Linked DNA regions of Oryza sativa Japonica Group. The main gene of each other region encodes a partner of the protein of the gene in region 3 in a complex. Links are inferred from orthologs where the notes say so. Each region holds a gene or a part of one and is shown on either strand. Other genes may lie near its edges.

What was found. The genes of interacting proteins can lie anywhere in the genome.
Region 1: large ribosomal subunit protein uL1c (region 3) and large ribosomal subunit protein uL29c share a complex: the UniProt entries of both Arabidopsis thaliana proteins name them as parts of the 50S ribosomal subunit. The link is inferred for Oryza sativa Japonica Group from reciprocal best matches to the Arabidopsis thaliana genes EMB3126 and AT5G65220.
Region 2: large ribosomal subunit protein uL1c (region 3) and large ribosomal subunit protein bL21c share a complex: the UniProt entries of both Arabidopsis thaliana proteins name them as parts of the 50S ribosomal subunit. The link is inferred for Oryza sativa Japonica Group from reciprocal best matches to the Arabidopsis thaliana genes EMB3126 and RPL21C.

Annotation. Positions count from the first base shown.
Region 1 is NC_089036.1:32,213,725-32,217,301, reverse strand, and holds large ribosomal subunit protein uL29c, read right to left. Parts: upstream 2,247-3,577; 5' UTR 2,216-2,246; coding exon 1,862-2,215; intron 921-1,861; coding exon 777-920; 3' UTR 501-776; downstream 1-500.
Region 2 is NC_089036.1:9,030,857-9,034,665, forward strand, and holds large ribosomal subunit protein bL21c, read right to left. Parts: upstream 2,659-3,809; 5' UTR 2,613-2,658; coding exon 2,310-2,612; intron 1,839-2,309; coding exon 1,758-1,838; intron 1,210-1,757; coding exon 1,108-1,209; intron 1,025-1,107; coding exon 950-1,024; intron 831-949; coding exon 747-830; 3' UTR 501-746; downstream 1-500. UniProt on the Arabidopsis thaliana protein: This protein binds to 23S ribosomal RNA in the presence of protein L20.
Region 3 is NC_089039.1:18,889,724-18,893,799, forward strand, and holds the start of large ribosomal subunit protein uL1c, read left to right. Parts: upstream 1-1,254; 5' UTR 1,255-1,433; coding exon 1,434-1,802; intron 1,803-1,908; coding exon 1,909-2,088; intron 2,089-2,198; coding exon 2,199-2,253; intron 2,254-2,519; coding exon 2,520-2,647; intron 2,648-3,108; coding exon 3,109-3,192; intron 3,193-4,076. UniProt on the Arabidopsis thaliana protein: This protein binds directly to 23S ribosomal RNA.

The DNA.
Region 1 (3,577 bases), on a different chromosome or scaffold from region 3:
CTCTCTACATCTCAAGTTAAGATCTGTTGAAGAGATCAGAATAACAAGTTTTGGCTGAAGGGCCAAGCCACCTGGGCTTGCTTATGAAACTGATGATGGATCTAGGATGGCTCCCTAGCTCTGTGCAGAGATACCTGCAGCATACTCTAAAGCTAGAGTAGAAGGGGAAAGCCCAACATGCTTTAGGACAGTCTAACAGAGCTAGTTTAAGCATAAATCAGTGTTGAACAATAACATAAATCTAGGTGACCGACACAACAAGCCACAAGAACGTGGGCTTGGAGACAGTTGTACAGTTTTGAAACGTTTGATAAAACAGTGAACTTGAGTTTGGAGCAAAGCAGGGCACCAAAATTCCAAGCGAACTATTATAGACATGGCCTAATTCTCTTGTTTTTGTTACTCCGTATTCCAGAGACACTTCTTTAGAACTCTGCATATCTGCCTCTTATAGTATGTACGTACCCACAACTTTGTGACAGGTGAATTTGAATAGGCAGTTTGAGTTTCAACAAGTGTATAGCATACACTCGTTAAGCACAGTTTCATATATCAGTAATATAAGTGCATATATGGACAACACATTTTGAATAAACTGAAATTTACACAAATGGAATTGGTAATAGAACTTTTGGTTTTGACAGCAAGGACTTGGAAATCAGTTAATGTGAATTACATATCAATCCATTATAAGGAATGAAACCACAGGGAGAAAGAAACCTTCCTTCAAGACATGCATGAAATGACTTCTACAGACTGTCTGCTTTTGTGGCTCTCTATTCCTCCTTGTTCTCCCTTAGAGATGGTGGTGGTCTAACCACGATGCTTTGCTTCCATTTCCTGTCAAGCTTCCTAGACAATCTCTTGTTGATTCCTTGTTCAATTTCCCGTTCTCTTTTGACAGTCAGCATACGAGCAATCTGATGCGAAGATGACAACCCAAGTCAATGCTAAATTTAGATAGTAGAAAGCTGCTATTGAAGCAAGATGAGCAGGGTGAGAAAAACAACAGGAAAAAAAAATCTGATATCCTCCTCCTAAAAGGCAAGAAGCATTGATCGAGGCAGATATAAGTATGCATTACTCTGCTGCTAACTATTTGTCCTGTGCTGTCCCTGAGCAGAGGTGGAGACCTGAACTCCAAAGCAAGTGATAATTCATAACAATTGACTTATCAGAAGCCCTCAAGAAGAACAAGGTATCACATAACTGACCGTAGAATTAGTTCTTGTGTACTATCTGCATTTTGACGTCCTCAGAACAAAGTTTTGTTCCATTTTAAATTTTGGTCCACTGAAGGTTAATTTAACACTACTTTCCCAAGAACAGTATAAAAGCTCTTCAGATACACATTGCATTGCAATATCATTCTTCATGTAGTACTCTATGCACTAAAATCCAATAAACAATACTACAAACCCAAAGTAGATACTATGTAAGAATACGTAAATGGATGTCAGCATGACTTTCTAATCAAATTAAGTAAAAAAAAATTGCTTCTGAGACTGAAATTGTCCAAGCATTAACCCAAATCATCTGTAAATTCAGTATGGGCCAATATGCAACTGATAAAAATCAGGCAAAATTCCACCAACAAATTGGTAAGTTATTCCACTATTCTGAACCTGAAATCAACTCAATATATCTGAACATAATCAACTCAGTACTAGAGGTTGAACAAAAGGGCCTTGTAAACAGAACACACTGAGCAGAACATGCGACCACTCCACACCCATTTGGAAGTAGAAGGTGGAATTTCCACTCGTAGGTTGAACGCATTTTGGCCAGGAGTAAATGCTAAACTTTCGCAATGGAATTAGCAGTTGTGGTATATCTGTACCCCATGGAGTAAGAGACATACCCTCTTGCGCATGCGGCCGAACTCGCTGGATTTGAACTCCTGGCGCGCGGAGCGCTTGAGGCGGAGCATGAAGAGCTCCCCCTTCAGGTCCACCACTTCCTCCTCGATCTTCTCCGTCGGCATGGCCCGAATCTCCTCCAGCTCCTGCTCCCTCTTCGCCATCCTGGCCACGGCCGCGTCGCCCCTCCCCGCTGGCAGCCGCGGCGGCGCCGCCGCCGCCGCCAGTCCCGGGAACGGCGCCAGCGACGCCCCTCCGGTCAGGAGGCCGAGGAAGGCCGTGCGGGGAGTGGAGACGGCGAGCCCACGGGGAGTCGAGGCGAGGGGGGACGCCGCGGCGAGGGACATCGTCGCCATCTTTTGCGCTGCGCTCGCGTCTGCGCTCTCTGCCGGTCGGGGTTCGTGGATAAGGGGGTTTATCTGGTCATGTTGATTAGCCACTCGGGGCACGAATCTTCAAGCATTATCGGACGGCTTTCACTTGCTTAATATGCATGTCACATCTCTAAATATCGAAATCTACGCGGATTCGCGTGCAAATAACCCCTCCACGTGGCGCTGCACGATTCCAGCTTTCGTCTCCCTCTCGCAGCCGTCAGATCACAGATCAACGGTGTGGAATAGCTGCGGTGGACCTCGTTGTAATATGTGAGGTTTTAGGGGTCTTTTTGAAAAAGTTATACCAAACCTGCAATGCCCTTCTCTCCGCCGGCGCCCCCGCCCCCGCTTCCTCCGCCTCATTCGTCGGAGGTCGACTTGTCCTCCTACGCCGATGTCGCCGCCTCTTCCTCCTCCCCGCGCTCCAGCTCCACCTCCGCCCCTCCGACGCCCTAGGCTGACCCTCCCACGCGCCAGCGCGCCGTTCTGTGCCGTCTTTCCCCTCAAGTTCGGCGGCGGTGGCATAGATCCACCTCGTCGCTGGATGGGGCGATGAGTTCGGTTGCCGTGCTTGGGGATGGGGAGGAGGAAATCACATGCATCGCTACGTCCGTCTTCGCTTCTGCCTTTTGATTCGCCGACCGCCTCTCTCCCCAAGTCGCGGCACCAAGGGGATCTCGGACGGAGGCCACTGGCCGTGCAACAAAGGGCGTGGCTGAGGACCGTGCTACCGCCGCCGGATGCCGTCATGCAGGAGCGGGAGCTCCCTCCCCTGCTTCCCTACGGGTTCACAGTTTCACACCACAGCTGATTAATTCCACCTGTAATTAAGAAAAAAGAAGGAATTTCTTTTGTTGTTTTCGTTGATTTTTGCGTGTTACACGATGCTACTGAATAATGCTCAGATTGGCACCAAGGAATGAATGAGTTGCCAAAAATTAACTGTCACATTGTAACATGTTTTGTCTTTGTCTGAAATCTGAAGAGTTGGCCTTTCTTGACTTACAGTACGAGGGTGGTGCAGCTGAGGGTAGCAGAAGACCAAGCATCTGGAACACCTTCACACATCAGCACCAAGGCATGTTAACTACATCTCTGTTCACCTTTGCCTGCTTAAGCTGTGCTCTGTACAGAATTATGTTAATCAAGTTCAATTAAGTGTATTTGTATATCTACAAGTATAAAATTTGTCCTATTTAGCAACCAGAAACACTTCAACGATGTAAAGCAGAAATTAACAAGCTGAATACACAATGACAGAAAGGTATGCAGAATCAAGAAGCATATGGATTGTGCATCAAGTCTGACTGTTGCACTCCTTTTTTGAGAGAGAGAGATTTG
Region 2 (3,809 bases), on a different chromosome or scaffold from region 3:
AAGATGTCTGAAAACCACTATAATTCAGAACTGTAATATGCAATTAGGGGTGAAGGACTACTGAAACAGTCATAGTTTGCCAAAAGATTATACGCCTTATGCCACTGGTTATCTTTGGTAAGGATTCAAAAGGGCAAAACTTCTGCAGTTCTTCATGAACCAAGGTTCTAAAAAGTGGTAAGCAGAATCCATGCAGCCACCTGCCTTGTAGATGCTTATATGGCCTAAGTCCTAACCAGCTGCTTATGTGCCCTAAGCAGTACAAGGTTGCACACAAACACCTTATATATGGCCTTGCAGAACTTCTCTTAGAACACTCGAATAAATCATGACCAGAACTGCATTGAACATAGTACTGTAACTGATCCCAAAATATTAGGACATAGCCCGTTCAATAAACTAAGCACCATTGGTACAGATGCCAAAAACAGTGAAATTAGCATCAGTAGTCACAAAAACTGTATAAAGTTACACAAACCAAAGCTAAAACATCCGTATCGTGGTAAAATGCTCTCTCTTTTTTTAAGCACAGTGAAAATAATACAGTTGGCTAGGATACACAATATCAGAATGAACAAAACAGATGGTGGAATAAACAAAGGATGGAACAACTGGATGACTGGCAGCACTCGAACACATGAACAAAGCAAATTTTGTTCAAAAACTGTTCTTCCAGACAAGAAAAGGTAGCACTCGTATTCTAATGTACTACCAGTTGTTTGTAACTACAGAACTTACAATTGCTCTTAAGCTGGAACATACTCAAGTATCGGGTCAGCAGGGAAGTCCTCGTATCCACTTATGCCGGTAATTCTTAACCTTGTGTTTGGCTGCAAAACAACAGAGATTTTTAATCTAAAAGAACTCTAATTGCTTCGCTGTAAAAACTGAATCAGTATTTATCAATAAAATTCTACCTTTCTTGAAGAAGGTAATTGGAAAAACTTACCTGTCTGTGACCAAGTTTCCTCTGGTACTTCTTCTTCTTCTTATATTTGAAGACTATCACTTTATCATCCCGTCCCTGATATAAAAATATTGGGGAGACATCAGGGTCAAGTAATTTTGAATATCCATGATTAACCCGACAACATACAGAGGACATACCTGTTCCTCAACCACTGCATGAACAGCAGCATTGGTCACCACTGGCATGCCAATGTAAGCCTTGTCTCTAGTTGATACCAGTAATACCTTGTTTAATATTATCTGCACATCAGCATTATCCAGAAGTGAGAATTTCTGGGAAAACAATACTAAAAATGCCAGCAACATAAGCCAACGTATGGGTCCTATGGGATTGGAAGCTTTGCATCAGAGGAGTAATTTTAGTTAGAAAAGGAACGAAGCTAATATATGCAGGCTACACAAAACTTATCGAAAAGTTCTGAATAAGATATTTATGTGAAATCAGGAACTGGGATTGAAGTGTTATAATTACAGGGAAGTGACTCTTTTACTTCTAAAATGAAGTAGGTCACTACCACTTTCCATAATTTCAGAATGTACAACCTTCCTCGTTGTTTTGAAGTTTGTTATTGCATCTCATGGATGAAAAAGAATAATAACCAAATAACCAATACTATATATTTGCCTTTTCCTAATTTACAATCACCTTATCTAGAAGCCACCTCAGCATCATATACCTTTTAAATTTATGGATTAATACAAACCAACTAACTAGCAAAAATAGGCCAAATTTCTAGTTAGGGTGTAACAAGTATCCTCCTGCATCCTCTAAAGTGGAAGCACCAGACCTGATCATTGACATTGGCGCCTTTCAGCCTCTGCGTGTATATATACCTTCCAGGCATCACAATGTACTGTCTCGACCCAATCTGCGACAGAAGAAAAATAATCAAAATAGCTCCCTCGTTATTATTCACAGCGCTCATACAAAACAAAACACAGAGAAACCCTCCTCAGATGCACTCCTGCATATTTCAGAAATGCATCCGAACAATTCTCTGTAAGACTAGTATTGTATCATTCGAAAACACTGTAATTCTCTGCGCCGTTTTCTTAATGGTGTGTCCTGTACATACTAATAATCGGCGTGCGCGCATTCCTATTGGCGCGTGAATCCTAAGCTTCTTATGCAGCATAGAGTAAGCAACACAAGCCTGAAATCAAATGCTCACTTCACCGCAAGAAGCAACGCAACTAGCGCCAAATGCCTGTGTAATGATATTATTTAAAGAATTCGAGGTAATGTAGCATGAACAAATGTGATTCTTTTTTTGTTTGTTTGCAGTGAGCCGAGCAGGACTAAATCTGAAATATTGGCGGCAAGGGCAAGCTAGCCCCACCATGACAACGGCGAAGATGTCGGCGTCCTTCCCGGCGCCCGCGGCTGCGATCTGCGCCTCCACAGGCTCCGGCACCGCAGCCTCCTCTTCTTCAACCTCCTCCTCCTCTACCACCTCCGCCTCGGCCTCGGCCTCCACGGGTGCGGGCGCCGGCTCCTCGGCGGAAGCGAGGAGCCGCCAGCAGCGGCGGGGCGCGGACGCGGCGACGGGGAGGGAGCATCGCGAGGCCGGGAGGGACGGGGCGGAGGGGAAGGCTAGGGTTTTGGAGGCGAGGAGGCGGAGGGGCAGCGTCGCGGTGGCCATGGCCGGCGCGCGGGGGGGAAGAGCAGTGTGGATGAGAGTGTGGGCTATCGTATCGGAAAGAAAGAAGAGGGATAATATTGTGGATAGGGAGGTTACCCTGAGCCGTTCGATTGGAGATCAACGGCTCAGATTAGATACCCATGAAAAACATGAAACTATGCCCTACTAGTTTTTTAGCGATACTGCACGTACTCATTTTGTTTCTCCTTTCTAAAGTTTAGAATCGTTTGATTTAATCAGTTAAAGATTATAAAAGAGTTGGATCGAATGTGTTGATTAGACCATAAAGAATATGCGAATTAACACGAGTGATGAGAACTCTCGTGAACTCTCGGACGAAAGAGCCAAACTGAACTACTACGCCTCCTCGACCCCTCTTCCTCACAGGCTCGGGTGACCTTGCCGCCGGCGAGGTGAGGGAGAGAAGTCCGACAAACTCTCTCTTTGTAGGTCAATCAATTTAGTTGGGTTTTTCTTTTAGTTTGAGCGTGAAGGTCGGCGATGTTGGCCTTCTAGTCCTAGGTTTCATGGAGAAGGCAATCGAAGTTTCTTCTCTAGTGGTATCCCTCTAAAACACCGGGTAATTCTCTATCACCGTGAGTTAGGAGAAAGCTAGACCTAGTTAAGGGAAGTTAGGCAAGTTATCTTTCTTTTCTCCAGCAGGCTTTTCGCAAGGATGATAGTTTTCTTCCTCTTTATTGGTGGCAAACCTTCAAGAAGCAGTTGAGTTTTGTTTGCTATATGCTTGGATTCCTCAACCTTAGGCTATGGAGGCCCTAATAAGGTAAGCTTCTTGGTGCTTTTTTATGCAACTTGCCATGAAATCTTTGTCTCTATCACCAATATCAACGATTAGGTTGTCGACCTTGATGGTTCTGCTCCAAGAACAATCTCATTTAGCTCTGGATGTACTCATCTATGGTATTGATGAACCTTTTCATGAATTGTCATGGCCTTAACCTCTATTGTTGTGAAACCCTATTTGGGAATGCGTCAAGGCAACATCTTCTGTAGCTCGCCGTGTCCATGTAGCACCCACTGCCATCAAGTATGTCACCAGTCACCACCAATGTGGGCATAAGACAGAGGAGGACCTGATTGTTGTTTTTTTTTTCAAATCTTGTTGAGTCCTCCTTTGCTTATATTTTGACCTAGCCATCTTAAAGAGACTATCTTCCGTACTCCCAGTTCTATCAA
Region 3 (4,076 bases):
GGGACGCCCTGGAGACACGCATTGTTGATGCTCTCAGAACCCATGAATTGCATAAGATTAAGACATTCAGTCCAATTTCTTCCAATATTCTTTCTAAAAGAGATCTTGTAAAGTTTGCATGTGACAAAAAAAAAAGAACTACTACATAACACTATACTGTTACAACAGAATACCTTATGGTGCTAACATCAGCACAGGATCGTAGGTATCATATTTGTATGTGCACTGGATCTGGTACTACCAGACACGATATCCATTAATACCACATTATCAGACTCTCGTATTGGTTCCTATTTCCTTCGTCCCATAAAAAATCAATTTCTAGGAATGAATCCGGACAACATTCTTAGGACATTCACAGTGCGCTACATATTTTTGCCGTTCCTCATATGCCACGTAGACGAAGAACCTGTTAAGCTTCATCCTCTACAATGCAAGTACTAGTAGTGGGTCCCACCGGTACAGTTTTTTCAATTTTCATCTCTCAATCTCTCTCTCTCCTCTGTTTCTTTTCTCATCCGAAATCTTTCATCCCCCAATCTCTCACTCTATTTCTTTTCTCACCAGGGCATCCGAGGCGCTGGGGCTGAGCGGCGGCGGCTGTCAGGGCAGCCCGAGCTGCGACGGTGCCGGACGGCGAGCTCCCATCCTCATCATTGGATACGGTGGCGGTCGCAGCCTCTTCGTCGATGGCGCCTTCCTCTCTCTCTCTCCCCGTGGCTGTGGCGACAATGCGCTCGCTGTCGACGCTGCGCGAAGCCACTCGTGTGAGGCTCCGCCCTCCACAACACGACAACTCACCTTTCTCCCTGCTTTCTTCGTTTGAAGAACGAGTATCCATGTTTGGGTACGAGAACCTTATTTGGCTCCGCGTACTGTCAATGCGGCGCCGAATATTCAGTTCTTGGCTATGGGGCTGAACGTCACATCCTTCTACTGTGAACACTCTTAGAAGTTGTATCTTTTGGGATAGAGAGTGTAGGTACTCTGATGGTACGGCCAGACATTTCTGATACTCTCGCAACTAACAGATTATGGGTAATGGTTCGTAGTATTTTTAAAAAGTAAATAGCACTACATTATCGGTGGTTCTTTTGGACCGTACCCAGTAACGGCGAAATCGTGAGCTTTTGGGCCCAATCCGACGCCCGCGGCGCCGCAGCGCACCACCCTCCCCCAACCGTCTCCCCCGCGCGCGCGGGCACACACGGCTCGGCTAATCCAAAATAGCCCAAATCGCACGAGTCCTCCCCCGTCCCCCGCGACGCGCGAGCGAGAGAGAGCCCTATCCGCTGCGCGCTTCGCCCGCTCGCCTCGCCCTCGCCTCACCGGCTATTATAACACTCTCGCGCTGCCACTTCGCCTTTTCCTCCCCTTTCTATCCTCCACCTCGGCTTATCTCCTCCCCCCTCCCCACCACCACCACCACCACCATGGCCACAGCCGCTTCCCTCTCCGCCACCGCCTCCTCCCTCCTCGCCCCCGCCCCCGCCACCACCGGCGCCGCGGCGGCGCAGTGCTGCTCCTCCTCGTCCACCGCGCTGTTCCCCACCCCCGTCCCGTCGCTGCGCGCCTACTACCCGCGCCTGCTCCTCGCGTTCCGCCGCCCCGCCGTCGCCGCCGTCGCAGACCCGCAGGGCGCCGTGCTCGAGGAGGAGCAGGGGGAGCAGCAGGACGAGGGGCAGGAGCAGTACGACGACGACGACTACGACGACGGGTACGAGGGCGGACGCGGCCCCGCGTTCACGCCCCCCACCCGCCCGCGCACCGGCAAGGCCGCCCTTCCGCTCAAGCGCGACCGCGTATGCCCCCCCCGAATCCAGCCTCCCCCCCGCGTGTTCATCCATTCGTGTTGATTTTTGGATTGACGCTGACGCCGCGTTCGCCTTTTTTTTGATGGGTTTGCAGACGAGGTCGAAGCGATTCCTGGAGATACAGAAGCTGAGGGAGAGCAAGAAGGAGCACGACGTGCCCACGGCCATCTCGCTGGTGAAGCAGATGGCCAGCGCCCGATTCGTCGAGTCCGCTGAGGCGCACTTCCGCATGAACCTCGACCCCAAGTACAACGACCAGCAGCTCCGCGCCACGGTTATTGCTCTTTCTCTCTGCTGTTGCCATTGTTACGTACGTTCTGTTCTGGCTTGTGTTTTATCAATCGTTTTTGATGATATTGGATCGGTTTTGGTGATGATGTGCAGGTTAATTTGCCCAAGGGGACGGGCCAGTCGGTGAAGATTGCGGTCCTCACACAAGGTGGGTTGCAATTACATTTTGGAGATTGTTATCGCAGCACCAATTCCAATTGCAATCTTTGGTGCATGGATTGATTAGGTCACTGCTAGTTGTGTCTTTTAGGTGTGGTTTGCCTGCTTGATCATGTGGTTATTTACGGTTCATTAAATTGGAAGCACGCTGTTATATAGTGAATTGAAATGGAAGTATGTGAATGCGCGCTAGTCACTAAAGTGGTGCACTAATCACTAGCACTATGTAATGGCTATTGTCAAATATCCTTGCAGGTGAGAAGATAGATCAAGCAAGAGCTGCAGGAGCTGATATTGTCGGTGGAGATGACCTGATTGACCAAATAAAAGGAGGATTTATGGAATTTGACAAGCTGATTGCATCACCTGATATGATGCCTAAGGTATGGCATTAGCTGCATAACTCATGTCTAAAACAATTCCAAGCATTATGAAGACTTGTCTTTTTGCATGTCTCCGACATAGTTTATCCCACATCCAAATGAACACGTTATGTTTCAGTGTTATTAGGAACCACAAAACCAGGCAACATTTAGTTGTATTGATCAGATATTGTTTTCTTATCATTACCTGCCATATCTGATCCATCCCTTCATATTACAAGTGTCTAGCATTTACGATTATGATTTGAGCCATAATGGAGATATGCAAATTTGGTTCACTCAGAGAAAATAGATTCGATAAGCAAATAAGGTTCTACTGTTTTGAATTGGTACATTCTTCGGAAGTTTGGATGCAGTTCTGCAATAAGTGTTGAGCTCCATGCAAGACCTGCATGGAAGTTTTAAAGGTGTGCTACTAGCTCGGCATATTATGTTGTTGATTTTGGTCTTTTGCTTCACAGGTCGCCGGATTGGGAAAGATTCTAGGACCGAGAGGACTTATGCCTAACCCCAAAGCTGGGACTGTTTCTCCAAACATAACTCAGGTACAATGGAAATTCTACAGATTACTATATGTATTGACACTGTTGCTTGTGGTTTTCTCTCCCATTTGCTTGGTTATTGTGACCCTGAGTGAAAGGTGGGTAACTGTCCATTTACCTTCTTTGATCCTTGGTGAACTTCTGTTTTATCCTCGTTCAATGCAATAGGCAGAACTCCTGCCCTTTTGTTCAAAGAAGTTGTCCATTTACGTCATCTCAGTACTTACCTCATAGATGCACTTCTGGGAGAAAACCTACTGATATATTGCTACCTTGTTTAGTAGTCTTCATTGTGTGTGCAATATATTTCAGTGGTTCGATTTTCAGACATGTTGATAGACATTTTTTTAACCTTGTTATTCGTAGATAGAAGGTTTGAAATTTTGTTTGTGCCAACTGAATTTGAGGATATGCATGGATGCATAGCTCCATCGTTCGTTTGTTGGCTTATCAACGGCAGCCAAAATCTGGATTTTGAAACTTAATTTAGAATTGATTTTGAGGGGTTTTTTTTATTGTGCTTTATTCTCCAGTGCTGGCTTTTGAATCGCTAAGAACATAGATATAGACGTTTTACTCAAAAGTTATTTTTGGTTGCTTCGTCATTTTTCCACGGCTTATCAGCCATAGAGCAAATGATCGTGTAATGACTGATGATGATGGTAATCTGCTACTTAGCCTGCATAGTGCCTCCGTAACAGTTATGTAAAGCATCACAACAAATCTGCAAAATAGAGAAAACAGGTAAAGTAGGCTACTTGACTGTTAGGAACAACCATCATTTATAACGGTTAACTGAAGGACAGGAGTGGGAGCATTTGTGAAAAATCTAGCCCTTTAGGTAATGAACTGGGCTATATTGTGCTCATATATCTATGAAAAGGGCC